Linked DNA regions of Xenopus tropicalis. The protein of the gene in region 1 interacts with the protein of each later gene in a pairwise test. Links are inferred from orthologs where the notes say so. Each region holds a gene or a part of one and is shown in the gene's direction. Other genes may lie near its edges. The genes, in order: tsc22d4, mad2l1, zmynd10 and nrbp1.

What was found.
Region 2: the proteins of tsc22d4 (region 1) and mad2l1 interact in binary tests that used the Homo sapiens proteins (3 or more experiments, as listed by UniProt). The two-hybrid records come from large-scale screens. The link is inferred for Xenopus tropicalis from reciprocal best matches to the Homo sapiens genes TSC22D4 and MAD2L1.
Region 3: the proteins of tsc22d4 (region 1) and zmynd10 interact in binary tests that used the Homo sapiens proteins (3 or more experiments, as listed by UniProt). The two-hybrid records come from large-scale screens. The link is inferred for Xenopus tropicalis from reciprocal best matches to the Homo sapiens genes TSC22D4 and ZMYND10.
Region 4: the proteins of tsc22d4 (region 1) and nrbp1 interact in binary tests that used the Homo sapiens proteins (3 or more experiments, as listed by UniProt). The link is inferred for Xenopus tropicalis from reciprocal best matches to the Homo sapiens genes TSC22D4 and NRBP1.

The regions. Positions count from the first base shown.
Region 1 is NC_030679.2:151,479,857-151,487,334, forward strand, and holds part of tsc22d4 (TSC22 domain family protein 4), read left to right. Parts: intron 1-2,288; 5' UTR 2,289-2,299; coding exon 2,300-2,719; intron 2,720-4,130; coding exon 4,131-4,273; intron 4,274-7,078; coding exon 7,079-7,130; intron 7,131-7,478.
Region 2 is NC_030677.2:71,052,981-71,061,219, reverse strand, and holds the start of mad2l1 (mitotic spindle assembly checkpoint protein MAD2A), read left to right. Parts: upstream 1-3,447; 5' UTR 3,448-3,493; coding exon 3,494-3,563; intron 3,564-5,127; coding exon 5,128-5,274; intron 5,275-6,792; coding exon 6,793-6,910; intron 6,911-7,410; coding exon 7,411-7,514; intron 7,515-8,239. UniProt on the Homo sapiens protein: Component of the spindle-assembly checkpoint that prevents the onset of anaphase until all chromosomes are properly aligned at the metaphase plate.
Region 3 is NC_030680.2:127,251,113-127,258,590, reverse strand, and holds part of zmynd10 (zinc finger MYND domain-containing protein 10), read left to right. Parts: intron 1-3,027; coding exon 3,028-3,136; intron 3,137-3,999; coding exon 4,000-4,116; intron 4,117-4,524; coding exon 4,525-4,578; intron 4,579-5,029; coding exon 5,030-5,182; intron 5,183-5,952; coding exon 5,953-6,041; intron 6,042-6,325; coding exon 6,326-6,426; intron 6,427-7,478. UniProt on the Homo sapiens protein: Plays a role in axonemal structure organization and motility. Involved in axonemal pre-assembly of inner and outer dynein arms (IDA and ODA, respectively) for proper axoneme building for cilia motility.
Region 4 is NC_030681.2:162,078,008-162,086,196, forward strand, and holds the start of nrbp1 (nuclear receptor-binding protein), read left to right. Parts: upstream 1-4,107; 5' UTR 4,108-4,193; intron 4,194-4,274; exon of another isoform or gene 4,275-4,301; intron 4,302-4,325; exon of another isoform or gene 4,326-4,347; intron 4,348-4,437; exon of another isoform or gene 4,438-4,490; intron 4,491-7,555; 5' UTR 7,556-7,596; coding exon 7,597-7,788; intron 7,789-8,048; exon of another isoform or gene 8,049-8,079; coding exon of another isoform or gene 8,080-8,121; intron 8,122-8,189. UniProt on the Homo sapiens protein: Required for embryonic development. Plays a role in intestinal epithelial cell fate and proliferation, thereby involved in the architectural development of the intestine potentially via the regulation of Wnt-responsive genes.

The DNA.
Region 1 (7,478 bases):
GTAATAAGCCACACCCACCCATTACATTACATTACAGGGGGGGTTGTTTTGCCCTGATGTAGGAAGTGAAATTCTAAGACCATCTGCAATTGGTTTTCTTTTTTGTGGTTTTTGAGTTATTTCGCTGTTTTATTCAGCCGCTACCTGGTTGCTAGGGTCCAAATTACCCTAGCAGCCAGGCCTTGGTTTGAATGAGAGGCTGGAATTGGAATAGCGGAGGGCTTGGATACAAAGATGAACATTTGTTTTTGAGATGTCGGGGGTCAGCGACCCTCATGTAACTGCCGGACGGATTCAGAACGAGGCAAACCATTCAAAAACTATAAAGCAGAAAAAATAAAGCCCAACTGAAAAGTTGCTTAGAATTAGCTTCCAGCACATCTCACCTTTCCCCAGTTTCCCAAAGGCCCACAGGCCGCTAATAATGTGCGTTATTGGGCCCACTGGTGCCACGGTCACATGCTGTAATGTCTGCAACCTGATTGGCTGAATACTGAGCATTTCTATAAAAACGTATAACTTCCCATTGGCTAGGCGGGGGCTTACAGGGTTACCCCCACGACCCATTAGGCAAACCGCCCCTAGTTGACTGGGTGCCCCCTGCATACTCTGTGCCAAAGGTACCGTGGGGCCACCAGGAGCCGCACAAATATAACCCCCTGCTGCGCACAGTAAAGGAGAATATGAGTGCCAGGGAGCCTGAGAGCAGTGATTGGCTGTGCCAATTCCCCGGCCTTGAATTGTTTTTCAGCTTTTATCCTTTCATGTGATACCATAACACAGGCTATAACTCCCTGCACTGACTCCCCACGCTCTATTGGCCACCCTGTCACTGCCGGCCTTACAGTGCATCATGGGATGTAGTTCTTCTGTATATCCCTTAACCCACAGCAGCTCTTCCTCCCTCTTCTACCAATCACTGCTGCCTCAGTGTGAATATACAATCCTTTATGTTTATACCATATCCCTGCAGCCCCTCAGTGACTGCTAATATCCTTATCATTTACAGTAGGGGGTACAGTATCCCTTATAATACATGAGTGATACTCAGAGTTCCCTGTATAACTCAGCCTGCAGCCTTGTGCCTTTATATGGGGGGCACAGAACCCCTCAGTGACTGCTAATATCCTTATCATTTACAGTAGGGGGTACATTATCCCTATAATTACATGAGTGATACTCAGAGTTTCCCTGTATATACTCAGCCTTGCAGCCTTGTGCCTTTATATGGGGGGCACAGACCCCTCAGTGACTGCTAATATCCTTATCATTTACAGTAGGGGGTACATTATCCCTTATAATACATGAGTGATACTCAGAGTTCCCTGTATAACTCAGCCTGCAGCCTTGTGCCTTTATATGGGGGGCACAGAACCCCTCAGTGACTGCTAAATATCCTTATCATTTACAGTAGGGGGGTACATTATCCCTTATAATACATGAGTGATACTCAGAGTTCCCTGATAACTCAGCCTGCAGCCTTGTGCCTTTATATGGGGGGCACAGAACCCCTCAGTGACTGCTAATATCCTTATCATTTACAGTAGGGGGTACATTATCCCTTATAATACATGAGTGATACTCAGAGTTCCCTGTATAACTCAGCCTGCAGCCTTGTGCCTTTATATGGGGGGCACAGAACCCCTCAGTGACTGCTAATATCCTTATCATTTACAGTAGGGGGTACATTATCCCTTATAATACATGAGTGATACTCAGAGTTCCCTGCTTATAACTCAGCCTGCAGCCTTGTGCCTTTATATGGGGCACAGAACCCCTCAGTGACTGCTAATATCCTTATCATTTACAGTAGGGGGTACATTATCCCTTATAATACATGAGTGAATACTCAGAGTTCCCTGTATAACTCAGCCTGCAGCCTTGTGCCTTTATATGGGGGCACAGAACCCCTCAGTGACTGCTAATATCCTTATCATTTACAGTAGGGGGTACATTATCCCTTATAATACATGAGTGATACTCAGAGTTCCCTGTATAACTCAGCCTGCAGCCTTGTGCCTTTATATGGGGGGCACAGAACCCCTCAGTGACTGCTAATATCCTTATCATTTACAGTAGGGGGTACAGTATCCCTTATAATACATGAGTGATACTCAGAGTTCCCTGTATAACTCAGCCTGCAGCCTTGTGCCTTTATATGGGGGGCACAGAACCCCTCAGTGACTGCTAATATCCTTATCATTTACAGTAGGGGGTACATTATCCCTTATAATACATGAGTGATACAGTGTATAATATAAGGATATATTTCTCATGATATTTGGCAGGATCGCCTGCAATGAGCCTCGGCAAGAAGCGAAGTGGCTTCCAGATCACCAGTGTGACCAGTGACTACCAGCCCTCCTCCCCAGTTTCACCAGTAGCCGATGAGCGTTCTGCTTCCCCCACACCCACAAATGGACTACGCTCGCCCCCAACCTCTCGCTTTCGGGTGGTCCGACTGGACCAGGCTCCCCTAGGAGGGGGGCGGCGGTACAAGAGAGGCCGCTGGAGCTGTGTGGAATTCTACCACCCCGAGGTGGGGTCTACGTGCCGGGCTGGGGCAGGACACTCTCTGGATTCAGGGCTCCCCCGCGCCTCCCCACTCCGGTCCCCCTTACTTCTGTCCCCGGGAGCTGGAGGAAAGGGCCCTCAGGCCCCCAGGTCACAAGGGGCCCCAGTGCTGGGGGAAGGAACAGGCTCGGATATAAGGATTGAGGTAAGAGGGGTAAATACATGGGCTTTGATGATTCCCCTTCTCCCTCCCCATTTGTTTCTCCTCATTCCTTTGCTGTTAGTTTTGGCCCTCACACCTGGAGCCATTCCTTCTCCTGCAGCTTTCCTTGTGTATTTACCCCGGGGGCAGTAAATGTCCCAGAGGGAGAGGAGGGGTAAAAAGGGAGAGACAGTTTCCTCACTGCTATTCTCTGCTGAAATGCACTTACCCCCAACTGTAGGGTGAATGGGATAGGGACCTTAGATTGTAAGCTCACTGGGGCAGGAACTGATGGGAATGTGATAGGGACCTTAGATTGTAAGCTCGCTGGGGCAGGGGCTGATTGGGAATGTTGGATAGGGGACCTTAGATTGTAAGCTCACTGGGGCAGGGACTGATGGGAATGGGATAGGGGCCTTAGATTGTAAGCTCACTGGGGCAGGGACTGATGGGAATGGGGATAGGGGACCTTAGAGTGTAAGCTCACTGGGGCAGGGACTGATGGGAATGGGATAGGGGACCTTAGATTGTAAGCTCACTGGGGCAGGGACTGATGGGAATGTGATAGGGACCTTAGAGTTGTAAGGCTCGCTGGGGCACGGGCTGATGGGAATGTGATAGCGGACCTTAGATGGTAAGCTCACTGGGGCAGGGGCTGATTGGGAATGGGATAGGGACCTTAGATGTAAGCCACTGGGGCAGGGGGCTGATGGGGAATGGTGATAGGAGACCTTAGATTGTAAGCCACTGGGGCAGGGGCTGATGGGAATGGGATAGGGACCCTTAGATTGGTAAGCTCACTGGGGGCAGGGGGCTGGATGGGAATGGGATTGGGACTTAGATTGTAAGCTCACTGGGACAGGGACTGATGGGAATGGGATAGGACCTTAGATTGTAAGCTCACTGGGGCAGGGGACTGATGGGGAATGGGGATAGGGACCTTAGAGTGTAAGCTCACTGGGGCAGGGGCTGATGGGAATGGGATAGGGACCTTAGATTGTAGCTCACTGGGCAGGGCTGATGGGAATGGATAGGGACCTTAGATTGTAAGCTCACTGGGGCAGGGCTGATGGGTGGATAGGGACCTTAGATTGTAAGCTCACTGGGCAGGACTGATGGGAATGTGATAGGGACATTAGATTTTAAGCTCACTGGGACAGGGACTGATGGGAATGGGATAGGGGCCTTAGATTGTAAGCTCACTGGGGCAGGGGCTGATGGGAATGGGATAGGGACCTTAGATTGTAAGCTCACTGGGGCAGGGACTGATGGGAAATGGGATAGGGACCTTAGATTGAGTCAGTGGGAGGGGCAGCAGGTGAGTGGGAGGGGCAGCAGGAGTCAGTGGGAGGGGCATCACCAGGAATGGCTGCTTTGCGTCACACTAATTGGCCCCCCTCTCTCTCCCGTACAGCGCTCTCCAACACAGAGTCCTGTGGGGCCCCCAGTTTCTACTTTCCACCCTGAAACCCCCCCAGCCCAACGGGACACTGACGACTTTACTGAGCGGCTCATCTTGGCGAGATCCGTCTTCTGTGTGGGAGGGGACAACGACAGGTAAGGTCCAACTGTGCCCGCCTACAACCCAGCTCCTCCCCCTCCCTGGCATCTACCACTAATAGTACTCATGGGTAACTACTGGGGCCCTGAGGAACCCCTTACCCAGGGCTTATATATAGGGCCCCAGCCCCGGGGTTGTATATAGGGCCCCAGCCCAGGGCTTGTATATAGGGCCCCAGCCCAGGGCTTGTATATAGGGCCCCAGCCCAGGGCTTGTATATAGGGCCCCAGCCCAGGGCTTGTATATAGGGCCCCAGCCCCGGGCTTGTATATAGGGCCCCAGCCCCGGGCTTGTATATAGGGCCCCAGCCCACGGGTTGTATATAGGGCCCCAGCCCAGGGCTTGTATATAGGGCCCCAGCCCAGGGCTTGTATATAGGGCCCCAGCCCAGGGCTTGTATATAGGGCCCCAGCCCCGGGCTTGTATATAGGGCCCCAGCCCACGGGTTGTATATAGGGCCCCAGCCCAGGGCTTGTATATAGGGCCCCAGCCCAGGGCTTGTATATAGGGCCCCAGCCCAGGGCTTGTATATAGGGCCCCAGCCCCGGGGTTGTATATAGGGCCCCAGCCCCGGGGTTGTATATAGGGCCCCAGCCCCGGGGTTGTAATATAGGCCCAGCCAGGGCTTGATATAGGGCCCCAGCCCGGGCTTGTATATAGGGCCCCAGCCCCGGGCTTGTATATAGGGCCCCAGCCCCGGGGTTGTATATAGGGCCCCAGCCCCGGGCTTGTATATAGGGCCCCAGCCCCGGGGTTGTATATAGGGCCCCAGCCCCGGGGTTGTATATAGGGCCCCAGCCCCGGGCTTGTATATAGGGCCCCAGCCCCGGGGTTGTATATAGGGCCCCAGCCCCGGGTTGTATATTAGGGCCCCAGCCCCGGGGCTTGTATATAGGGCCCCAGCCCCGGGGCTTGTATATAGGGCCCCAGCCCCGGGGTTGTATATAGGGCCCCAGCCCCGGGGTTGTATAGTAGGCCCCAGGCCCCGGGCTTTTAGGCCCCGCCCGGGGGTTTGTAATTAGGGCCCAGCCCCGGGGTTGTATATTAGGGCCCCAGACCCTAGGGCTTGTATATAGGGCCCCAGCCCCGGGGTTGTATATAGGGCCCCAGCCCAGGGCTTGTATATAGGGCCCCAGCCCCGGGGTTGTATATAGGGCCCCAGCCCCGGGGTCTCATACAGGGACTATAGTTCTTGTATAACAGAGCTAAACCCAAGGGCGAGGGGGGATCCGGCATACGGCGGAAGGATACAGTGAGGGGGAAGGTACGGCCTAAGCACTGAGTTATTTTATTTACACAAGTTCTTTGCTCTTATTTCCCCTTTACAGTCGGGGCCCATAGTGTGAGGCTCAGGGATATTTCCCAGCAGCCCCCGGGGCCCGAGAGGAATGAGCTGCAGGAATTTCACAGCCGGACACAGAGCCTCGACATTTATTATCCATCTGTCACTTCCAACTGCAGAGCCTCTGCCCCCCCAGCCCCCCAACAGAGAAATACAGCCCCCCAAACAGCCCTGCAGAGCCTCTCCCAGAATCCCCCTGCCCCCCCAGCCCCCCAACAGAGAAATACAGCCCCCCAAACAGCCCTGCAGAGCCTCTCCAGAATCCCCCTGCCCCCCCAGCCCCCAACAGAGAAATGCAGCCCCCCCCAAACAGCCCTGCAGAGCCTCTCATGTTCTGCCTATCCCAGAATCCCCCTGCCCCCCCAACAGAGAAATACAGCCCCCCAAACAGCCCCTGCAGAGCCTCTCATGTTCTGCCTCTCCCAGAATCCCCCTGCCCCCCCAACAGAGAAATGCAGCCCCCCCAAACAGCCCTGCAGAGCCTCTCATGTTCTGCCTCTCCCAGAATCCCCCTGCCCCCCCCAGAGAAATGCAGCCCCCCCAAACAGCCCTGCAGAGCCTCTCATGTTCTGCCTCTCCCAGAATCCCCCTGCCCCCCCAGAGAAATGCAGCCCCCCCCAAACAGCCCTGCAGAGGCCTCTCATGGTTCTGCCTCTCCCAGAATCCCCCTGCCCCCCCAGCCCCCCCCAGCCCCCCAACAGAGAAATGCAGCCCCCGCCAAACAACCCTACAGAGCCTCTCATGTTCTGCCTCTCCCAGAATCCCCCTGCCCCCCAGCCCCCAACAGAGAAATGGCAGCCCCCCCAAAACAGCCCTACAGAGCCTCATGTTCTGCCTCTCCCAGAATCCCACTGCCCCCCCAGCCCCCCAACAGAGAAATGCAGCCCCTCCAAACAGCCCTGCAGAGCCTCCGTGTTCTGCCTCTCCCAGAATCCCCCTGCCCCCCCCAGCCCCCAACAGAGAAATGCAGCCCCCCCCCAAACAGCCCTACAGAGCCTCTCATGTTCTGCCTCTCCCAGAATCCCCTGCCCCCCCCAGCCCCCCAACAGAGAAATGCAGCCCCCCCAAACAGCCCTACAGAGCCTCATGTTCTGCCTCTCCCAGAATCCCCCCTGCCCCCCCAGACCCCCCAACAGAGAAATGCAGCCCCTCCAAACAGCCCTGCAGAGCCTCTCGTGTTCTGCCTCTCCCAGAATCCCCCTGCCCCCCCAGCCCCCCAACAGAGAAATGCAGCCCCCCCAAACAGCCCTGCAGAGCCTCTCATGTTCTGCCTCTCCCAGAATCCCCCTGCCCCCCCACAGAGAAATGCAGGGCCCCCTGAGAGATCCTTGCCATTCCATCACAGCACCCAGTTGCTCAGCGGGGCCTCTAGGGGCAGAATTGTGTATTACATTTACATTAGGAAATACAACTCACAAACCCTACAATAACAATCTCCCCTTTGTCTGTTTCTCCTCAGTGTTTCCAGCAACAGTTTGGTAGCAATAGACAACAAAATTGAGCAGGCCATGGTAAGTACCTGCCCCAACTGCCCTTCCAACTAACCCCATCTGAACTAGCAGTGTAACTAGCAGTGTCTGCCCTTCTGTGCCCTGTAGCTCCCTCTGCTGTCTCTTCTCTGTCACTGCATCTCTGCTCTTTGTCTCCCTCTGCTGGCCCTGCTTATACTGCACCTCCCCCACCACCGCTAATGTCTCCCTTTATCTTTATATATATATATATAACAGTCAACAGTAACAGTCACCCCGCTATAGTTCCAGGGGTACCCAGGGCACAAATAAGCACTCACCCCAAATCCCCCCCTAACTGGCCTTCAGGCTGGGCCCCCTTAGCCCATAACAAGGGTACAGATATATAGA
Region 2 (8,239 bases), on another chromosome or scaffold:
AGTTGCTGTATCCTAACTGAGAAGCCTGCTGTTTGCTCAAGACCTATATAACTAGGGGGACTGTTTAATAAGTAGGGAGAATGAATCCTCCATTTATCAACATTCTGTAATTCAGAGTTTTCTGGATAACGGGTTTCCGGATAAGGGGGTCCGATACCTGTATAGACAACATTAGAAAGGCCAGCTTGTCCTAAAAAAAATGATGTATAGTTTTCCTTGGCAAAGTAAATTAACCCTTCAGGAAATGGCCCAAAGTGAAATGACAAATGGCAAATGAAATGCAAAATCCTGCTGGTACAATCCTTATTCCAAGGCTCATGTAGCTGTGGGACTGGGTTTGGTGGCACTGACAGATTTACTAAGAGCTAAAGGCAAATTCATAAAAAAATGTCAGTAAAATGACAAAATCTGAAAACTGTCTGTTTAAAAGACTAAGTGGTTGCGTAACATACAAGCACAAATTGTAAGGTAAGAGTGCATCAGGTATGGGCATTTGTACTTAAGTGCAGGACTAGGCAAAATAATGTTTTAGTTCTCTTAAAGAGAGTTAGTGAGTGTTCCCTATGGAGGGATTCAGGGATGGAGTTCCAGAGGTACAGTGGATATAAAATGTCAGGTTCCTGTGCTGTACAAAAATAAGACAAAGATAAATAATTTCAGAACTTTATCCACCTTTAATGTGACCTATAAACCGTACCACACAATTGAAAAACAAACTGAAATCTTTTAGGTGGAGGGAAGAAAACCAAAAAAACTTAAATAATGTGGTTGCATAAGTGTGCACACCCTCTTCTAACTGGGAATGTAGCTGTGTTCAGAATTAAGCAATCACATTCAAAATCATGTTAAATAGGAGTCAGCATACACCTGCCATCATTTAAAGTGCCTCTGATTAACCCCAAATAAAGTTCAGCTGCTCTTGTTGGTCTTTCCTGACATTTTGTAGTCGCATCCCACAGCAAAAGCTTTGGTCCACAGAGAAGCTTCCAAAGCATCAGAGGGATCTCATTGTTAAAAGATATCAGTCAGGAGAAGGGTACAAAAGAATTTCCAAGGCATTGGATATACCATGGAACACAGTGAAGACTCATCAAGTGTCATCAAGTGGAGAAAATATGGGACAACAGTGACATTACCAAGAACTGGACGTCCCTCCAAAATTGATGAAAAGACGAGAAGAAAACTGGTCAGGGAGGCTACCAAGAGGCCTACAGCAACATTAAAGGAGCAGCAGGGATATCTGGCAAGTACTGGCAGTGTGACAACAATCTCCCGTATTCTTCATATGTCTGGGCTATGGGGTAGAGTTGCAAGACGAAAGCCTTTTCTTATGAAGAAAAACATCCAAGCCAGGCTACATTTTGCAAAAACACATTATTATGTGTTATGTTATGGTCTTATGAAACCAAGGTTGAACTTTTTGCCATAATTCCAAAAAATATGTTTGGGGCAAAAACAATACTGCACATCACCAAAAGAACACCATACCCACAGTGAAGCATGGTGGTGGCAGCATCATGCTTTGGGGCTGTTTTTCTTCAGCTGGAACTTCGGCCTTAGTTAAGATAGAGGGAATTATGAACAGTTCCAAATACCAGTCAATATTGGCACAAAACCTTCAGGCTTCTGCTAGAAAGCTGAACATGAGGAGGAACTTCATCTTTCAGCATGACAACGACCCAAGGAATGGCTTCACCGGAAGAAGATTACAGTTTTGGAATGGCCCAGCCAGAGCCCAGACCTGAATCCAATTGAAAATCTGTGGGGTGTTCTGAAGAAGGCTGTGCGCAGGAGATGCCCTCGCAATCTGACAGATTTGGAGCGTTTCTGCAAAGAAGAGTGGGCAAACCTTGCAAAGTCAAAATGTGCCATGCTGATAGACTCATACCCAAAAAGACTGAGTGCTGTAATAAAATCAAAAAGTGCTTCAATAAAGAATTAGTTTAAGGGTGTGCACACTTATGCAACCACATTATTTTAGTTTTTTTGGTTTTCTTCCCTCCACCTAAAAGATTTCAGTTTGTTTTTCAATTGAGTGGTACAGTTTATAGGTCACATTAAGGGCTCTGGCACACGGGGAGATTAGTCGCCTGCGACAAAACTCCCTGTTCGAGGGCGACTAATCTCCCCGAGTTGCCTTCCCCTGCCATCCCACCAGCGAAAATGTAAGTCGCCGGTGGGATGGCACACGCAGCGGCACAATTTCGCGCAAATTGCTGAAAAAGCCTCGCGAGGCAACTTCGGCGATATGCGCGAAATTGCGCCGCCGCGTGTGCCATCCCACCGGCGACTTACATTTTCGCCGGTGGGATGGCAGGGGAAGGCAACTGGGGGAGATTAGTCGCCCGCGAACAGGGAGTTTTGTCGCGGGCGACTAATCTCCCCGTGTGCCAGAGCCCTAAAGGTGGAAAAAGTTCTGAAATGATTTATCTTTGTCTCATTTTTGTACAGCACAGGAACCTGACATTTTATCAAGGGTGTGTAGACTTTTTATATCCACTGTAAGGAGCAGCAAGATAGAAAGGTTTAGGACGAATGTGCGCAGTTGGTGTTGATGGTGTAAAAAGACAGAGACGACCAGGAACGTGCAGAAACCAGCAAACAAAAATGTAGCAAAGAAATGTTCCCACAGCACTGCCTGTCAGGAGTATGCATGATCATGGGTCCCTGCCCCCCAGGCATAATGTCGCCACCTGGCCAGTATTTTACCAGCCTTGATACCAGGCCAAATGGGTAGGAATATTATTTTTTTTACCAAACAGTGGCACTGGTAACCCAACCCATGATCCAAAAACAGAAGAGCAGGGTAATAGCTCCCTATGAAATTGCCCATAGGTGGGTATGTGACAGGGAACTGCATGCTCCAACGGGATCGAGAACGATGTGAATTTTAAAGTCATAAATGTATTTTCCAGTGCCCTAAGTGTGTATACGTTTGAAATAAAATTTCTGCATAATTTGTTGTTCCTGTATGCTATATCGTAAAAATGTTAAAGTTATATACATCCAAGTCCAACGCGCTCCACGCCCACTAATATGAGCCGTACCTCTTACAAATCACAATACCATGTTCTAAATATATCTGCGGAAGACGTCTACAGAACTGCGAACATATGCTCCATTTATTTAATATCACCGACAACTGCCCAAATATCGATAAACACTGCGCCAATAAACTAAACACGTAGCAAACGCAGATTCGATTCAGTTATTCTAGCTGCAAGCAAATTAGGAAAGCTAACTTTTGATTGGTTGATATGAGCTACACTATTACCGCAAATTTTAAGATTTGCCCTCAGTAATGATGGCGAACATACGACGTCACGCAGAACGCATCTTTCCGGCTGGCTTTTAATTGGACCACAGGCTGCACATGATGTGACAGTTGTCCAATCAGAGTACGAGTCCGCCGTTGGTTTGAAGTGGAAGGCGCGTTAGTACTATCAGGACCTGAAAACTTTTGGAACCAATTCAGTTTTACAAGAAGGGTCCGATGGCCGGTCAGCTAACACGTGAAGGGATTACCCTGAAGGGTAGCGCTGAAATCGTGTCGGAGTTTTTCTGTAAGTGGTTGGGGAGGGGAAGATAACCCTTATTGGTTGCAATAGCAGTAGCTAATAACTGAGCCTTTGGCATGGCTGATATGGGGACATGGATAGAAAACGCACTGACAATTGGACTCATGCAGTAAAGGAGGGACTACACGAAAATATTTTGCTGACAGTGTGTAAAAGTCCACCCCACTATCTGCTTGCTGAGTAAAGCTGCAGCTTTGGCCAGATAGAGCATGTGATTTGGAAGTCAGGCATTAATTGGTCTCCACTGAGCATAATATCCTCTTAGAGAGAGAGACTGGCACAATATGCTGCTTAAAATCGATATTTATTAAGAACTCAATACATCTTATTCAGAGAACAACAAAGCCCTATGTGTTTTTGTGTCCCATCTGGGCACTTCATCATAGGCCAAATCATTCCTGTTTGCATAATATCTTCTTAGAGAGAGACAGGTTGGCACAAAACCAGACTGGAGTAGAACTATACTGCTTAAAATTGCTATTTATTAAATATGTAATAGATCTGTTTCAAAGAACAACAAAGCTATGTGTTTTGTGCTCCATCTGGGCACTTAGTCATAGGCCAAATCGTTCCAGTGTGCATACTCCTGCTTCCAAAGATGGCAGCCACCAGCCCTGCTGCACAACTCTGCAATTAGACAACTGATATTGTGGTGGCCTGGATTTTGTAGACATTGGCAGTGATGCAGTTGAGGGGAGGGGAGCTGCTGTAGGTGGATACAATTTAAAAAAAAAAAAGAGTATGTGGGGGTTAGTGCTTCTTTAAAATTTTGAAAAACAGCAAGCACAAATTAACTTTTTTTTCTACAATGCTACATTTGTGTTGGCTGGCCAAGATCATGCTCCTTTTGTAAGGGGTGGCTATTTGCATACACTGTAACGCTACCAAGCAATTACTTGGCACTAGATTAAATAAAGTCAATTGAATCTCTGTATCTTAAGTGAACTAAGAAAAGTGTTAACAATAAAACTGGATAGGGTAGTTTTGTCACCAATATGGATTTATGCAACTTAGTTAGGATCAAGTCAAAACACTATTTTGAGGACATCCAGTATGGTGGCCACAATTAGTCACTCCTAACATAGAAGTGCCTTACAGCTTAAGAAAATAACTGTCAGTGAAAACCTTAGCTCTGTTGCAGTAAGGCTATACTTTGTGAGGTAAAAATACTTGTACCTTATGGAAACTAAGCTACACAAATCCATATTTGAGACCAAATGATCCTATGGGGTTTATTTAATGTATAAATAACTTTTGCAAACATATGGTATGATGATCCAAATGTCAGAAAGGTCCCTTATCCCAAATACCCTATGTCCAAAGCATTCTGGATGCTATACCTGTATTTTCACTGTAATAATAACCGTAGCTGCATAAATTCATATCTATAACAATCTAGTTGGGTTTATTTCATGTTTAAATGTTTTTCAGCAAAATCAATTATAGAAAAAAACCCTTACCCAGAAAACTACAGGTCCCAAAAATCAGGATATTAATCAGTCTGTTTTTGATCATATGTTAATTTTTGTTTGTTTTTTTTTCTCCTTAGTTTGTGGCATCAATAGTATTTTATATCAGCGTGGGATTTATCCATCAGAAACGTTCACACGTATCCAGAAGTATGGACTTACACTGCTACTCACTACAGACCCAGGGCTGAAAGAGTATTTAAATAAAGTTACCGATCAGCTTAAAGGTTCTTATTGGGTTTTATACATGATCATATCTTTATTTTTTTTATCTTTCTGTATGGTTTTGTTTTTGAATAGTTGTGGGTACCTTTCCATTTTCACTAACATATCCTAGATATGTCAAGGCTATATGTGAGAAAATATGGTATGTGTTAATTTGGGCCAGACTTTACTTCAACATACACATGCTCTTATTGTTAATGTGGTCTTAAGGGTAAGAATCAACAGAGCAAGTAACTCGCTCGAGAGAGATTTTTGCTATCGTGGGCTAGTCACCGTTGAAAAGGCTTTCCACTGGCAACAATAGGAAGCCCTTCGCGTTGCTTCGGTTTTCCTCCTCCTTGGTGCGACTTCAGAGCAGTTACATGCCCGCGATAGCAGAGATCTATCTTGGGCTAGTAACTCACTCCATGGGTTCTTACCCTTAAAGGAGAAAGAAAGGTAAGATCACTGAGGGGTGCCTCTGTTAGGAGAAAGCTGCACTGGCCCTGGGTACCTGAGAGAGCGATTCTCTTATGTCTTCTCACCACTTGCGCATGCACAGTTCTGTTGGCTTTGGGATCATAAAGAAAAAAATGACAAGAGGAATAAGATTGCTGGTGCAGGTTTCTCCTAACAGGAACAGCAGCCGAGGGTATAAGGTAAGCATTTACAGTCACTGGGGTGTGCCTAACGTTTTGGCACTCCCGGTGATTTTACCTTTCCTTCTCCTTTAAGCTATTAAAACAGAAATTGATGGGACATTTGGGTACAGGGGGTATTTGTGATCATCAGCTGATCAAATTTCAATCAATTTTTGTAAGGCAGTTGGTTTACTGTTAAACTGGACTATATTAGGTCATCTTTGTTAAAGCTGCCACACCATACTGAACCTTTTGAGTGGATGTTTATTAGAGATAAGTCTACAGTGGGAGGGTTTTTTTCTTTTCTTTTTTTTTTTTTTTCTAAATTTGAACATAGGAATGCATTTCCAATATAAGCTGCTTGTTTTTTGTGTCATTTTGAAAATGTGATACCCACCCAAGGATTTTAATAACTCTGTATTGCTCAAATTCAACCTTTTAAAGGAGAAGGAATGCCTAAGTCACTTGGGAGTGCCAAAATGTTAGGCACCCCCAAGTGACTTAAATCGCTTACCTGGTGCCCCTGTTAAGAGAGAACTGTACCAGCCCGGGGTAGCTGCAAGCGCTTCCTTCCATGTTGGCGCGCTGCACATGTGCAGAAGAGTGAAAAGCCGAACTTTAACAACAAAGTCGGCTTTTCATTCTAATGCCCAGGGATTTTGCCACAGAAGAAACGCGGAAGAAGGAAGCGCTCGCTACAGCTACCCCGGGCTGGTGCTTTTTTCTCCTAACAGGGGCACCAGCCCGGGGTACAAGGTAAACGATTAAAGTCCCTTGGGGGTGCCTAACATTTTGGCACCTCCAAGTGACTTAGACTTTCCTTCTCCTTTAATTCCTGTTTGTACCGTTTGTATGTATATTAGGCAGGCCAATAATTTATTTATTTTTTTCTTTTATTAGATTGGTTGTACAAATGCCAGGTACAGAAGCTTGTGGTTGTGATAACAAGTATCGACAGCAATGAAATTCTTGAACGCTGGCAGTTTGACATAGAGTGTGACAAAACTGTGAAAGATGGGTAGGTTTTTTTTTTCTTGTTCCCCCTTTAGAGCCAATATTAAAGGTTTAACGTTATCCATTATTTATACATATTAAACTATAAAAAAGAAAAAAAAAATCTTGGGAAATGACACTGTTGCAAAGTCTCCAGAAAACTTTAAACCAACCATTTCAGTATTGTTAAAAATCACTTCCACATAAGGAAAATTACCTTGGAGCAGTATACCCTGTTGCACTCTACAGGACATTGTTTGTCTTTGAACACATACTACTTAAATAAAGACCGTAGTAGACAGCATTGATGAGAAGGCATTTCACAGCTAACAGACTAAACTGCAAAAGGACATTAATTGTATTGTAACTTTAATTGCAATTCACTGTAAATCAATAAAGGTGTTCAATGACCAAAAGAAGCCAGCACATACAAAATTACTTAGAATTAACTAGGAAAGAAGACACAACACTGCAACTTTGACCTGTATCCAATCTAATTTAGTATTTAATTTTTTATAATTTCAGTATTGTTCGTGAAAAGTCGCAAAAGGTTATTCAAGAAGAAATTCGATCAGTTATAAGGCAAATTACTGCCACTGTAACTTTCCTTCCTTTGCTGGAAACAGCATGTGAGTATATATAATCTTTTGGAAAAGTGCTTTTTGCTCCTCTATATACACAAGTTTGTAAAAAAAAAAATATTTATAGCACCCTGTAAAAGGGTTGGCTAAAAATGATGTTTTTTCTGTACTGAGCTTTATGCACCCAGCATCTCCATAACAGTAATGATCCAGGCCTTGTGCACAGGAGCTCACCATCTTGGAATTTGTTAGAAGTGTCGGTGACACTGCACATGCTCAGTGCTGTTGAGAAGCTAAACTTAGGGATTATCACAGATTATTAAGCAGAAAAATAGGATTGCCTGTCATAAATGCTGATTATTAAACTTTGCAAATGCACTAGTTTCTGAGTGCCATGTAATATAAATCTGAATTACTAATTAACCTTATATCAGGGCTCTTATATTCTAAATATACTTTATATTGTGAGTGGGTCCCTAAGCTCAGTAACTGACAGTAGCATAGAGCATGTGCAGTCAATCAGCAGAAAAGAAGATGGGGAGCTACTGGGGCATATTTGGAGGCACAGATCTTCCCTGCAAAAGGACTGCTGTCCTTTGGGCTGCTACAGAACCCCAAACCTATACTGCAGCATTTCTACCCTACTTATTTGTCAAGCTTTTGTGTAAACTGTTTTTAGCCTTTAGCCTCAATCAAATTTTTTCCTTGATAGTTTTCATTTTTAGGTCAAATAGGTATTTATTTTATTTTTTTTAATTGATTTTTAGTAGAAA
Region 3 (7,478 bases), on another chromosome or scaffold:
GTCATTCAGATCACTGCTTAGTTGCTAGGCAAAACAGATGCACAGCAACAGAAAATAACACAGCAAATAAAAATTGCTTTAGAAGAACATCATCATTACAAACCTGTGATTGTAAAAATGACTGAGCCCCATTACTCAAGGCTTTGTTAAAAAAAAACAAAACATTCCTGATTTGAGGTTTAGCATAACTCTAGCAATGTTCCACAGAACACATGGGCGTATAGGGTATTTGTTTATGTGTTTATTGAAATATGTAGGAGCTGCTGTGCTGCTTCCTCTGCTAAAGTAATATCAAACTATCTCTGTCGGCTCAGGGGGACACGGAGTGTATAGGGTTAAGCCCCATCCTTCAGGAGGATTAAAGGAGACATATCCTATAAAAATGTACCAGAGAATTATACTCCTCTAGATATAGAAGGAATGTGCTTAAAAAAGTTGTATTTCAGACTGATTTTTTGAGAAATTCCACCAAAACCCCACTAGCCCCGCCCATCGGTTCCACTTCCTGCTGGCTGAATTCTCTGGATGAGCTGGGGAGCCGGCGGCCCTCCGTACACTGCACTGTAGGATAGGAACCAATCAGCAGCTAGACTGACCTGATAGGGAACTGAAGCCTGTCTGTGCTTGTGTGAGTGCAGGGCTGTGATTGGCTCTCCCCCTCCTACTGTGCTTCTGGCAGGGACTGTTAGGACACGCCCACTCTCCATTTCAAACTCTGACAGAGAAGAGATAGGATCTATAGGGAGCTCCAAAATAAAGGGGCCGTTTTTACAGATAGGATTAATTTTTAGCACAAAGGGAAACCAGCACCGTATATTATTCATAATTGCCTACAAAATTAGGAAAAAAAATGGGTTTTCCCATTTATCCTATATGTGCCAGGTCCACAGCTTAACCCCTATACCATTTCCATTCTATCAGTTTTTCAAGTGTCCTGCTTCCAGGATTTCCCAGCTGGATCTGCAATACATAGTGTGTACCATAGTTACAGTATGTCTGTTCTACTTGTTAGGAATGCCCCATTGAATATAATCACTGACCTCAGACTTAGGGATGGTGCTCCGTTTTGCTGAAAAACTGGATATGTCCGATCAGAGCTTCCATGCTGCCATCCTTCAGTAATTTCCCAATAGTTCATTGTTCCCCCCCACCCCACACAGAATAGTAATATGTCAGAATTCACTCTACTGCGCATGCATCGGTCAAGAGGAACTATTGGGAAATTTCTGAAGGAAACGGTAGTTCAAAATCTTTCCATAGAAGATCCTCAGTGAAACCTGGCACAGGGTAATAGACTTATTTCCAGAGAGTTAATTTTCCAGTTATATACAAAGAAGCAAATGTATGAATATATGTATGGCTGTATATACAGGTGTGGAATCCCTTATCCAGAAACCCGTTATCCAGAAAGTTCTGAATTATGGAAAGGCTATCTCGTATAGACTCCATTATAAGCAAATAATTTTAATTTTATAAGGTGATTCCCCTTTTCTCTGTAATAATAAAACAGTACCTGTACTTAATCCCAACTAAGATATAATAAATCCTTATTTGAGGAAAAACAATACTATTAGTTTAGAATATTAGTTTATTCAATATTTAAATGATTTTTAGCAGACTTAAGTTATGAGGTTCCAAATTACGGAAAGATCCCTTATCTGGAAAACCCCAGGTCCTGAGCATTCTGAATAACAGGTCCCATACCTGTATATATATATATATTTACAATACTTGGCCCAAAGGTAATAGGCTTATTGCTAAGGTATTGGAGGGGACAGAGTTAACCTGTCTGTTATATACACAAGCAATTTTATAGATATGTGTATGCATAAATATATTCAATTTATAAACTCATATCGTCAAGGAAGACTCCCTTAAAATGGATCAATCCCTGCTGCAAACAAATGGTAATGTACACATCAGGATTCATAAATTTACTTATTTCTGGAGCTCCTGTGTGCAGCACTATTTACTTTCCTGTTCATTGCAACTCAAACAACCCACTATACAATAATATTTTATTGTACATATCAAAAAGTTTACAATTACACCCCAGGCATAAGGAGGTCCTAGATTGACACCTAGTGGCAGCACTCGGATAGTCATTTAGTCCTAGATACAATCTTGTCTGAATTTATTTTCCGCTGTTGAACATGTATTTACTGTGGAGCTAGAAGGCGGTGCGTGAATAATATTCAATCTTATACAGACATATTAGGTGGTAGTATGTATATTAGCACATAGTTTAGCAGTTTCTCTTCTATTCTGGTAATTAAGTCATTGGCAATAAACTCGTAATACCGGCCCTGGCCTTGTCTGGTATTTTACCAGTTGGCTGGTACAGGTATGGGACCTGTTATCCAGAATGCTCGGGACCTGGGGTTTTCTGGATAAGGGATCTTTCTGTAATTTAGATCTCCATGATCTCCAGATCTCTTAAGTCTGCTAAAAATCATTTATATATTGAATAAACCCAATACGATTGTTTAGCCTCCAATAAGGATTAATTATAGCTTAGTTGGGATCAAGTACAAGGTACTGGTTTATTATTACAGAGAAAAAGGAAATCATTTTTAAAAATTAGAATTATTTCTTATAATGGAGTCTATGGGAGATGACCTTTCCGTAATTCGGAACTTTCTGGATAATGGGTTTCCAGATAATGGATCCCATACCTGTACAACCCTAGGTGGAACTATACAGCAGACCCTGGGAATGTCTATACCCTGCTCTACCCCGGGCCCCCTAGGGTCTACTGTATTGTAGTAACACTAGTGATATATTGTTTTTAGTGATACTAAAAAAAAACCAGCCAAACAGATTGAAAAACACGTTACTATTCTTTTAAATATGTAACAAGGAGAGAGAGGAGTATATAGGGCCCACTGGGATTCTAAAGAATGTGTAGTTTCAATGTATGTGATTATCTTTCCAAGGTTTGGGGGCCTTAAAGATTTTGTGGGGTCCAGTAAAATTTAGTTACACCACATTTGCACCTTTTAATGCTATAACATCTAATCTCTCCAGGTGGTTTAAACAGCATGAATACATTGAAAAGCTAAATATGCAAGCGATCCTCAATGCTTCAGCAGGGCAGGAGGAGATTATTAAGGACCTGCTTGTGACACATTCAAAGGTAAAACCAATTGTGATAGTTAACATTGCTTAAAAGAAATGATAGGTAAAATGCAATGAACACTTAGTTTTTATACTAAACAAAATATATGAACAATTTATTATATTACCATTGATGTCCCTGTGCTGTTTTTTATAAAAAGCAATGCTTTCAGATAAATGTGTTTCCTGTGTATGCTTCACTTCCTGTTCTGTTGAACAGGAAGCTGCTTTCAGACTTCTACTGCACGAGTTATACTAAGGCATAGCAATATATTAGCAATAGAGAGATTATAACATTTACAATACAAAAGGAATCTGCATCAGCTGAGCTATTTAAGCTCATATTGTACATGAAAGTAATTGTAAGTTCTGCCAGCACTGGACAAATATTAATTGCATTTTTGATTGCAGAAAAGATTAACATTGTGTCAGCCATGTTCCTCTTGCTAGTTTCACATGTTTTGGCACCAAATTCCAATCCGTGTGCTTATACCCGGGCCTACTCAATGGCTCCAGGTGCAGACACAGAGAGGGCTGATGCAAACGGAGGGGCTGATGCCCAAAGTATCATGTATATGTTTTCATTCTAAGGCTAATGTCACACAGGGCTAATTCTTTGCCTGTTGATGAACACAGACTGAGAATCAGCCCATGTGGCATTTGCCCAAGAATGAAAAAGTATATGTGATACTTAACAGGAATAGAAAAGATATCCCTTTGGCTTTATAAACAGAGTTAAATGTGTTACAACTGTCTTTAGCACTTTGGTACACAAGGCAAAGCACAGAGAGCCATAGGATATTAGGAAGAAGGTATCATTTGTAATAAAAAAGGACATGCGTTACAATATTATTCTAAAATCCTTTCGCTTCTTCTTATCAGATTTCAGTTTTAATTCATGAACTGATCAGTGTGGAGATCTGGAAGATTAAGGTGTTTCCTGTACTGTGTCAACTGCAAGACTTCCAGCCCAAGAGCACCTTCCCTCTCTATATGGTGGTAAGAGTGCAAGCAACCAAGACACACCTTTTTTCCTGAACAGTTATTATTGCAGGCATGCAGGGACAATTAATTGGGAGTTCCCAGCCACAATACACAGAGTTGTTCCCAGTATTCCAGTCTTAGTCAACTGCTAAACAAACAGCTCATGCATAATAGGTACATAGTTAAGTTGGGTTGAAAGAAGACAATCTTCAACAAGTTAAGCCTTTCAGTGTATATCCATGTTACATAGTCTAAAATGACTTGCTTATTGTATTGTAAACAAACTATAGAAAACAGCATGATGCATGGGAAGAATGACCATTCTAGAATTCGTAGATAACTGTAATGTTATTTCTGGGGTTCTCCAGTTTACCAGTGGAAGGTCAAGAGCATTTAATTAATCATTTATTTATGTCCCTACAGATACATCATGAAGCAACTATCATTAACCTACTGGAGACAATCTTTTACCATAAGGTAAAACCCTTACTCTGGTCCATATTTAGAGTATATCTACCTATTTAGAAAGCACTTTTTAGAGAGAATTTTTACACTGCTGCTGAAATCATGTTGAAGCTTTTATAGGCACTTTTCCTAATTGCAGTTTAAATAAATTACTTTATTCTGTGCTAAAGTTTTCTAACTTTGCATAGAAAATATGCAGTGTAATTATATATTGTGAGGTTAGGTCTGGCATCTCTGGATATTTTCCTTGTATTTTCATTTGTGGCATATATTTACTCTTCAGTCATGTATTGATTCCCAGGAGTGTCATGCATGCAGCTGGAACACAGGGGATGATATTTAGTGAAAGTTCTGAATTTCTTGAGAAATGTGGTAGTAAAAATCTTTCCATTTAGAACAGCTTGTATATGAAATGCACACTGGGCAGGAATATAATTAGTTATAAGTTATTCCTGTTTTGCAGGAAGTATGTGAGTCTGCGGAGGACCTTACTCTGGATCTGATTGATTACTGCCATAGGAAACTGACTCTGTTAGCATCACAAAGCTCTAATATGAAAACACTCAGCCAGGACAGACTTCTCTCCCACACTGCCAGTGAAGCATCATCGTTAGAGGTGAGCGTTAATGCAATAAAAATGGAATGTGCAATTCAGTACTGCTCAACAGAGATGCAGTGACTTAAATACTAAAAACTAGCCTGAACTGACCAGCTGAAAGTTAAAAATATAGTTAGCCCCCTCCCCACATATAAGACTCTTCCAGTCCCAAGCACACTCTCTATACATTAAACTTAATGTATTGCTGCAGTGGGGCTCATTTACAACCAGGGGACTAAAGTACAAAAAAACATGTGGAATGCACCGCCACTCCCTTCCATCCCCACCAGATTTGTACCTGTTGCCTAGAGATGCAAAGCTTAGTGTTGGTAAAGTGGAGTCCCACGAGTTGTGCCTCTTGTGCATGCAGTGCAGCATATTGTATAAGCAGCACATGGTTGCCCTCAATGTGTCCCTAACTTGTTTAGTTGTATACAAGGCAGGAGCGCCAGTGCACACAAGGTGCAAAGGCAACAAGGCCATCTTGCGCCTGTGCTGTGCTCTGTGTTCAGGATGTTGAAACTAGGTAAAAGTAATACAGCTTGTAACATCAATAGATACAAGCATTAGTGTTCTGTTTATGGGCCCTTTCCATGCAGTTTTGCACCACTTAGAGCACCAGTACTTGCATCTGTATCCATTATAAATGAGCCCTACTAATTTTATTTATAATGCAGCAGGGTGTTATTTACATTTTTTTTATAGTGCTCTAAATTCCCTCTTTTGCAGCAGACTTACATTTACTATTGTTTTTTAAGGAATTAACATTTTCTCTACATTTGTCCTAGGAGCTAAAGCAGCAGGCTGAATCTCTGGAGTTTGACATTGCATTAAAATGCCTGTCAGTTATGCGATATATCAGTGATCATACTGACAGGTGAGCATGCAAAATCTCAGAACACCTAAAGGCTGGCATACAAGATCATGTTATTTTAGGGCAGTGTACAAAGGGGATGGATCTGTTCATGGTAATCAACCTGACTCTTTATGTGCAATCACTTGAAAACATGGCAGTGACCATTACCACAAAAGCCTATAGAGGTGCATTTTCGGCTTTTTGCCATGGGTATGATTGGCAAAACAGTGGGAATAGTCCTATGTGCCTTTGACCTACAATGAATGATTTATTTGTAAGAATTAATGCAACTTTTATCCCCTCAGCCTCCCACTATGTGTGACCAATCGTCTCCTTAATACTCACAACTTGCCTTGTCTGTTGGTGGAACTCCTGCATCAGTGTCCCTGGACCCAGCGCCAAAAAGGTGCGGATATGGTGTGCATTACACTGCTGCAAACTAGTGTGTAGATGTAAATTGGCCTGCAAGAGACATAGCGGTTCATTTAATAAGAATAAGCAGCTTAATGATACTTAATTATTAATATTAATCATTTTGATTATTGATGATTATTATTGGAATATTTTGAAGACAGTGGTATCGCAAGGCTCCTCTGTGCTTTGAGCCATAAATCACTTAATTACTTAATTTTCTAATTAATTCTCCTGTAATACAAAGAAAAAAAGTTAAACATCAATAAATGGCCTTGTTAGACAGGTCATGTATTACTACACTATGGCTCATTTACAACCAGGGAAGTAAACTGCAAAAAAAGTTTGAGGGGGTGCCTTTCCCTGCCACACCCCCCCCAGATTTGTACCTAGAGGTGCAAATCTTATGTTAGTAAAGCAGAGCCCAAAGAGTTGTGCCTTTGTATGCAAGCATTTACTATACGCAGCATAGGGTTGCGCTTGGTGTTCCCCTACACAGCCTGTAAACCTTCTGTAATAAGTTGGACACAAGGCGCAAAGGTAGGCATTTAGTACAGGACTGTTGTGCGCCTATGTAAGCTGTACTTACATGCTGGATATTTAAACTATCTCAAGCTAAAGAGTGCAGCTTGTACATTCCTTGGGTACAGGCATATGTGCTCTGTTTATGCCCTTTGGGCACAGTTTTGCCCCCCTTAGTTCACCAGCACTTGCAATTGTACAAATTGTAACTAAGCCCTACTGTGTCCTCATCTTGCAGCAGTGCATTATTTTAAACTTTGTACTTTTTCCCTTTGCTATCACATATATATTTACAAAAACCTGGAGAGTACACTTATTTGCAGTGAAGCAGTGTAGTTTTAATGAGACATCTTTAAGCACTACATGTTTCGGCTGAACAGCCTTCCTCAGGTGCGAAACATGTAGTGCTTAAAGATGTCTCATTAAAACTACACTGCTTCACTGCAAATAAGTGTACTCTCCAGGTTTTTGTAAATATATTTGTAAGAGATACAGCCAACACGGGGACTGCTACCTGTTGATGAG
Region 4 (8,189 bases), on another chromosome or scaffold:
GCAGGACAGGTGAGGGGGCAGAAGAGCTGAGGGGGCAGGATAGGTGAGGAGGCAGGACAGGTGAGGGGGCAGGAGAGCTGAGGGGACAGGAGAGCTGAGGGGACAGGAGAGCTGAGGGGACAGGAGAGGTGAGGGGGCAGGAGAGCTGAGGGGGCAGGGACAGGTGAGGGGGCAGGACAGGTGAGGGGGCAGGAGAGGTGAGGGGGCAGGAGAGGTGAGGTGGCAGGAGAGGTGAGGGGTCAGGAGAGCTGAGGGGGCAGGAGAGCTGAGGGGGCAGGACAGGTGAGGAGGCAGGAGAGCTGAGGGGGCAGGACAGGTGAGGGGGCAGGAGAGGTGAGGGGGCAGAAGAGCTGAGGGGGCAGGATAGGTGAGGAGGCAGGAGAGCTGAGGGGGCAGGACAGGTGAGGGGGCAGAAGAGCTGAGGGGGCAGGATAGGTGAGGAGGCAGGAGAGCTGAGGGGGCAGGACAGTGAGGGGGCAGGAGAGGTGAGGGGGCAGGAGAGCTGAGGGGACAGGAGAGCTGAGGGACAGGAGAGGTGAGGGGGCAGGAAGAGCTGAGGGGGCAGGACAGGTGAGGGGGCAGGACAGGTGAGGGGGCAGGAGAGGTGAGGGGGCAGGAGAGGTGAGGTGGCAGGAGAGGTGAGGGGGCAGGAGAGCTGAGGGGGCAGGAGAGCTGAGGGGGCAGGACAGGTGAGGAGGCAGGAGAGCTGAGGGGGCAGGACAGGTGAGGGGGCAGGAGAGGTGAGGGGGCAGAAGAGCTGAGGGGGCAGGATAGAGTGAGGAGGCAGGAGAGCTGAGGGGGCAGGACAGGTGAGGGGCAGAAGAGCTGAGGGGGCAGGATAGGTGAGGGGGCAGGAGAGGTGAGGGGGCAGGACAGGTTGAGGGGCAGGAGAGGTGAGGGGGCAGGAGAGGTGAGGGGCAGGAGAGCTGAGGGGGCAGGAGAGCTGAGGGGGCAGGACAGGTGAGGAGGCAGGAGAGCTGAGGGGGCAGGACAGGTGAGGGGGCAGAAGAGCTGAGGGGGCAGGATAGGTGAGGAGGCAGGAGAGCTGAGGGGGCAGGACAGGTGAGGGGGCAGAAGAGCTGAGGGGGCAGGATAGGTGAGGAGGCAGGAGAGCTGAGGGGGCAGGACAGGTGAGGGGGCAGGAGAGGTGAGGGGGCAGGAGAGCTGAGGGGACAGGAGAGCTGAGGGACAGGAGAGGTGAGGGGGCAGGAGAGCTGAGGGGGCAGGACAGGTGAGGGGGCAGGACAGGTGAGGGGGCAGGAGAGGTGAGGTGGCAGGAGAGGTGAGGGGGCAGGAGAGCTGAGGGGGCAGGAGAGCTGAGGGGGCAGGACAGGTGAGGAGGCAGGAGAGCTGAGGGGGCAGGACAGGTGAGGGGGCAGGAGAGGTGAGGGGGCAGAAGAGCTGAGGGGGCAGGATAGGTGAGGAGGCAGGAGAGCTGAGGGGGCAGGACAGGTGAGGGGGCAGAAGAGCTGAGGGGGCAGGATAGGTGAGGGGGCAGGAGAGGTGAGGGGGCAGGACAGGTGAGGGGGCAGGAGAGGTGAGGGGCAGGAGAGGTGAGGGGGCAGGAGAGCTGAGGGGGCAGGAGAGCTGAGGGGGCAGGACAGGTGAGGAGGCAGGAGAGCTGAGGGGGCAGGACAGGTGAGGGGGCAGAAGAGCTGAGGGGGCAGGATAGGTGAGGAGGCAGGAGAAGCTGAGGGGGCAGGACAGGTGAGGGGGCAGAAGAGCTGAGGGGGCAGGATAGGTGAGGAGGCAGGAGAGCTGAGGGGGCAGGACAGGTGAGGGGGCAGGAGAGGTGAGGGGGCAGGAGAGCTGAGGGGACAGGAGAGCTGAGGGGACAGGAGAGGTGAGGGGGCAGGAGAGCTGAGGGGGCAGGACAGGTGAGGGGGCAGGACAGGTGAGGGGGCAGGAGAGGTGAGGTGGCAGGAGAGGTGAGGGGGCAGGAGAGCTGAGGGGGCAGGAGAGCTGAGGGGGCAGGACAGGTGAGGAGGCAGGAGAGCTGAGGGGGCAGGACAGGTGAGGGGGCAGGAGAGGTGAGGGGGCAGAAGAGCTGAGGGGGCAGGATAGGTGAGGAGGCAGGAGAGCTGAGGGGGCAGGACAGGTGAGGGGGCAGAAGAGCTGAGGGGGCAGGATAGGTGAGGAGGCAGGAGAGCTGAGGGGGCAGGACAGGTGAGGGGGCAGGAGAGGTGAGGGGGCAGGAGAGGTGAGGGGGCAGGACAGGTGAGGGGGCAGGAGAGCTGAGGGGACAGGAGAGGTGAGGGGGCAGGAGAGCTGAGGGGCAGGACAGGTGAGGGGGCAGGACAGGTGAGGGGGCAGGAGAGGTGAGGGGGCAGGACAGGTGAGGGGGCAGGAGAGGTGAGGGGGCAGGAGAGGTGAGGTGGCAGGAGAGGTGAGGTGGCAGGAGAGGTGAGGTGGCAGGAGAGCTGAGGGGGCAGGAGAGCTGAGGGGGCAGGAGAGCTGAGGGGGCAGGGCAGGAGAGGTGAGGGGGCAGGACAGGTGAGGGGGCAGGAGAGCTGAGGGGGCAGGAGAGCTGAGGGGCAGGAGAGCTGAGGGGGCAGGGCAGGAGAGGTGAGGGGGCAGGACAGGTGAGGGGGCAGGAGAGCTGAGGGGGCAGGAGAGGAGAGGTGAGGGGGCAGGAGAGCTGAGGGGGCAGGAGAGGAGAGGTGAGGGGGCAGGACAGGTGAGGAGGCAGGAGAGGTGAGGGGGCAGGAGAGGTGAGGGGGCAGGAGAGGTGAGGGGGCAGGAGAGCTGAGGGGCAGGACAGGTGAGGGGGCAGGAGAGCTGAGGGGGCAGGAGAGGAGAGGTGAGGGGGCAGGACAGGTGAGGGGGCAGGAGAGCTGAGGGGGCAGGAGAGGTGAGGGGGCAGGACAGGTGAGGGGGCAGGACAGGTGAGGGGGCAGGACAGGTGAGGGGGCAGGAGAGCTGAGGGGGGCAGGAGAGGAGAGGTGAGGGGGCAGGAGAGGAGAGGTGAGGGGGCAGGAGAGGAGAGGTGAGGGGGCAGGAGAGGTGAGGGGGCAGGACAGGTGAGGGGGCAGGAGAGCTGAGGGGGGCAGATAAGCAGGACAGGGGAGGGGGCAGGAGAGCTGAGGGGGCAGATAAGCAGGAGAGGAGAGGTGAGGGGGCAGGACAGGTGAGGGGGCAGGAGAGGAGAGGAGAGGGGGCAGGAGAGGAGAGGTGAGGGGGCAGATAAACAGGAGAGGTGAGGGGGCAGGACAGGGGAGGGGGCAGGAGAGCTGAGGGGGCAGATAAGCAGGAGAGGAGAGGAGAGGTGAGGGGGCAGGAGAGGAGAGGGGGCAGGAGAGCTGAGGGGGCAGGAGAGCTGAGGGGGCAGATAAGCAGGACAGGAGAGGAGAGGTGAGGGGGCAGATAAGCAGGACAGGAGAGGAGAGGTGAGGTGAGGAGAGGAGAGGGGGCAGATAAGCAGGACAGGAGAGGAGAGGTGAGGGGGCAGGAGAGGAGAGGGGGCAGATAAGCAGGACAGGGGGCAGATAAGCAGGACAGGGGGCAGATAAGCAGGGCCGGCCCTAAGGTGGGAACTCCAGGTGACAGTGACCAGTTACAGGGGGCACACAGCCAGCTGAGAGCTGAATTGTACAAGTATAATTAGCGCTGCGGCCCCCCTGGAGCTGCCCCCCCCCCCTGGAGCTGCCCCCATGCTAAAGTTGAAAGCAGAATCCCCCCTGCAGGTAAGTGCCGTTACGGGACTAGGGGGTAGGACATGAGCTCTTCCCGGGGCAGGATAGACAATTTGCCCGGCCAGGCACAGGGTAATGGGGTAGTTCTGGGCTAGCAGACATTTCCCAGTGAGTACTGGGGTACAGCCGGCGGGAAGGGCAACAGAGGCAGAAGAAGGTGCAGTTACCCTGCCCGGGACACTATGGCCGCCAGGGGGCGCAGCAGCTGGCCCAGGGAAGTTGCTGTCAGACTGCGCTCTCACACTAACTGGGTCATTTTTTACAAACTAACGTGTCAGTTCCGCCAATCAGCGGCTCGCTAGCGTCCTGAGCCGCCGCTGATTGGCTGCTGTGGGAGGGAGTGGGTTCGGCTGTGCGGGCGGAGCCAGGCCCTGAATGGCTGGGCTTGGTCATTCGCCATAAGGGAGTCCGAAGCGTCACATCCGGGTACTGAGTAACCCAGGCCGGGGATTCTGGGCCTAGGACTGGCCTTCCTGCACGTAACACTTCGCGCACGGTAAGGTACGTCCCGACGGGCTGGGCGTGTGGGTGCGGGACAGGGATATAAGGAGCCCCGGGGTCTGTGCTGAGACTGAGGCAGCAACAAGTGGGAGCGCTGGGGTGCTGCGCGTCAGTTTAGCTTCTGCTGTGTTATAGGCGCAGGGGGGAGGGGAAGGTTTGTGGCGGGTAACGTTGGGCCCTAGGGCGGTAGGAACAGGGCTTAGTGGGGCCCCGGGGTGACGCAGGCAGAGATGGGGGGCGGGTACATGGGATGGGTGGGGCTGGGGGTGACACACAGGCAGCTGAGACAGAGGCAGGGTGAGTGGGGGATTGGGGTGAGAGGCAGGGGTGAGTGGGGGATTGGGGTGAGAGAGAGGCAAGGGTGAGTGGGGGATTGGGGTGAGAGGCAGGGTGAGTGGGGGATTGGGGTGAGAGAGAGGCAGGGTGAGTGGGGGATTGGGGTGAGAGAGAGGCAGGGTGAGTGAGGGATTGGGGTGAGAGAGAGGCAGGGTGAGTGGGGGATTGGGGTGAGAGAGAGGCAGGGTGAGTGGGGGATTGGGGTATTGGGGTGAGTGGGGGATTGGGGTGAGAGAGAGGCAGGGTGAGTGGGGGATTGGGGTATTGGGGTGAGTGGGGGATTGGGGTGAGAGAGAGGCAGGGTGAGTGGGGGATTGGGGTATTGGGGTGAGTGGGGGATTGGGGTGAGAGAGAGGCAGGGTGAGTGAGGGATTGGGGTGAGAGAGAGGCAGGGTGAGTGGGGGATTGGGGCGAGAGAGAGGCAGGGTGAGTGGCGGGATTGTGGCGAGAGAGAGGCAGGGGTGGGTGGGAGGATTGGGGTGAGAGAAGGCAGGGCGAGTGGGGGATTGGTGTGAGAGAGAGGCAGGGTGAGTGGGGGATTGGGTGAGAGAGGCAGGGTGAGTGGGGATTGGGGTGAGAGAGAGGCAGGGTAAGCGAGGTGAGGGATTGGGGGTGAGAGAGAGGCAGGGTGAGTAGGGGATTGGGGTGAGAGAGGCAGGGTGAGTGGGGGATTGGGGTGAGAGAGCAGGGTGAGTGGGGGATTGGGTGAGAGAGAGGCAGGGTGAGTGGGGGATTGGGGTGAGAGAGGCAGGGTGAGTGGGGGATTGGGGTGAGAGGAGGCAGGGTGAGTGCGGGGATTGGGGTGAGAGAGAGGCAGGGTGAGTGGGGGATTGGGGTGAGAGAGAGGCAGGGTGAGTGGGGTATTGGGGTGAGAGAGAGGCAGGGTGAGTGGGGATTGGGTATTGGGGTGAGAGAGAGGCAGGGTGAGTGGGGGATTGGGGTGAGAGAGGCAGGGGTGAGTGGGGGGATTGGGGTAAGAGAGAGGCACGGTGAGTGGGGGATTGGGGTGAGAGAGGCAGCGTGAGTGGGGGATTGGGGTGAGAGAGAGGCAGGGGTAGCGAGTGGGGGATTGGGGTGAGAGAGAGGCAGGGGTAGCAGGTGGGGGATTGGGGTAAGAGAGGCAGGGGTAGCGAAGGTGGGGGATTGGGGGAGAGAGAGGCAGGGGTAGCGAGGTGGGGGGATTGGGGTGAGAGAGAGGCAGGGGTAGCGAGGTGGGGGGATTGGGGAAAGAGAGAGGCAGGGGTAGCGAGGTGGGGGGATTGGGGTAAGAGAGAGGCAGGGGTAGCGAGGTGGGGGATTGGGGTAAGAAGAGGCAGGGGTAGCGAGGTGGGGGATTGGGGTGAGAGAGAGGCAGGGGGTAGCGAGGTGGGGGGATTGGGGTGAGAGAGAGGCAGGGGTAGCGAGGCTGGGGGATTGGGGGTGAGAGAGAGGCAGGGGTAGCGATGTGGGGGATTGGGGTGAGAGAGAGGCAGGGGTAGCGATGTGGGGGGATTGGGGTGAGAGAGAGGCAGGGGGTAGCGAGGTGGGGGGATTGGGGTGAGAGAGAGGCAGGGGTAGCGATGTGGGGGGATTGGGGTGAGAGAGAGGCAGGGGTAGCGAGGTGGGGGGATTGGGGTGAGAGAGAGGCAGGGGTAGCGAGGTGGGGGATGGGGTGAGAGAGAGGCAGAGGGTAGCGAGGTGGGGGATTGGGGTGAGAGAGAGGCAGGGGTAGCGATGTGGGGGGATTGGGGTGAGAGAAGAGGCAGGGGTAGCGAGGGTGGGGGATTGGGGGTGAGAGAGAGGCAGGGGGTAGCGAGGTGGGGGGATTGGGGTGAGAGAGAGGCAGGGGTAGCGAGGTGGGGGGATTGGGGTGAGAGAGAGGCAGGGGTAGCGAGGTGGGGGGATTGGGGTGAGAGAGAGGCAGGGGTAGCGAGGTGGGGGGATTGGGGTGAGAGAGAGGCAGGGGTAAGCGAGGTGGGGGGATTGGGGTGAGAGAGAGGCAGGGGTAGCGATGTGGGGGGATTGGGGTGAGAGAGAGGCAGGGGTAGCGAGGTGGGGGGATTGGGGTGAGAGAGAGGCAGGGCGGTAGCGATGTGGGGGGATTGGGGTGAGAGAGAGGCAGGGGTAGCGAGGTGGGGATTGGGGTGAGAGAGAGCAGGGTAGCGATGTGGGGGATTGGGGTGAGAGAGAGGCAGGGGTAGCGAGGTGGGGGGATTGGGTGAGAGAGAGGCAGGGGTAGCGAGGTGGGGGGATTGGGGTGAGAGAGAGGCAGGGGTAGCGAGGTGGGGGGATTGGGGTGAGAGAGAGGCAGGGGTAGCGATGTGGGGGGATTGGGGTGAGAGAGAGGCAGGGTAGCGAGGTGGGGGGATTGGGGTGAGAGAGGCAGGGGTAGCGAGGTGGGGGGATTGGGGTGAGAGAGAGGCAGGGGTAGCGAGGGTGGGGGGATTGGGGTGAGAGAGAGGCAGGGGTAGCGAGGTGGGGGGATTGGGGTGAGAGAGAGGCAGGGGTAGCGAGGTGGGGGGATTGGGGTGAGAGAGAGGCAGGGGTAGCGAGGTGGGGGATTGGGGTGAGAGAGAGGCAGGGGTAGCGATGTGGGGGGATTGGGGTGAGAGAGAGGCAGGGGTAGCGAGGTGGGGGGATTGGGGTGAGAGAGAGGCAGGGGTAGCGAGGTGGGGGGATTGGGGTGAGAGAGAGGCAGGGGTAGCGAGGTGGGGGATTGGGGTGAGAGAGAGGCAGGGGTAGCGAGGTGGGGGGATTGGGGTGAGAGAGAGGCAGGGGTAGCGAGGTGGGGGGATTGGGGTGAGAGAGAGGCAGGGGTAGCGAGGTGGGGGGATTGTCTTTGTCTTTTTTTTACATTATCTCGCATTTTCATGTGTATATCGGCTACATGTACTGCACCCGAGTGTATCTCATGCATTTGGGTGCAGGCACTTACCAAAAATATCCGCCCTATGCCTCGTGTGGCATTAGCCTAATGTCTCTGGGGGGGGGGGGGGGGAGGCATTGTGCTGAGCTGTGCCTTTAATCTCTGCCCTTTCCTCCCCCAGGTGCTGTTCCTTTAATTTTCTGAATATTCACACAAAGGGCAATGTCAGAAGGTGAAGGCAAAACTGCCCCCAGCACAGGCTCAGACCCCAAGATGGAGAGTGGGGTTTCCATGTCACCGCCTGTTAGTGCCCCCCCTGCACCACCACAGGAGGAGGAAGAGGAGGAGAGTGAAGATGAGTCTGAGATCCTAGAGGAGTCTCCTTGCGGGCGCTGGCAGAAGAGACGTGAGGAGGTGAGTCCTGGGGCAGGGGGGCATGGTGTGCCACAGGGGGCGCTGGCAGAAGAGACGTGAGGAGGTGAGTCCTGGGGCAGGGGGGCATGGTGTGCCACAGGGGGCGCTGGCAGAAGAGACGTGAGGAGGTGAGTCCTGGGGCAGGGGGGCATGGTGTGCCACAGGGGGCGCTGGCAGAAGAGACGTGAGGAGGTGAGTCCTGGGGCAGGGGGGCATGGTGTGCCACAGGGGTGCTGTTTGCTTGGCGCTGGCAGAAGAGACGTGAGGAGGTGAGTCCTGGGGCAGGGGGGCATGGTGTGCCACAGGGGGCGCTGGCAGAAGAGACGTGAGGAGGTGAGTCCTGGGGCAGGGGGACATCTGGTTTGGATAAATGGGGCGCGCTTCCCCCTTAATGTGAAAAA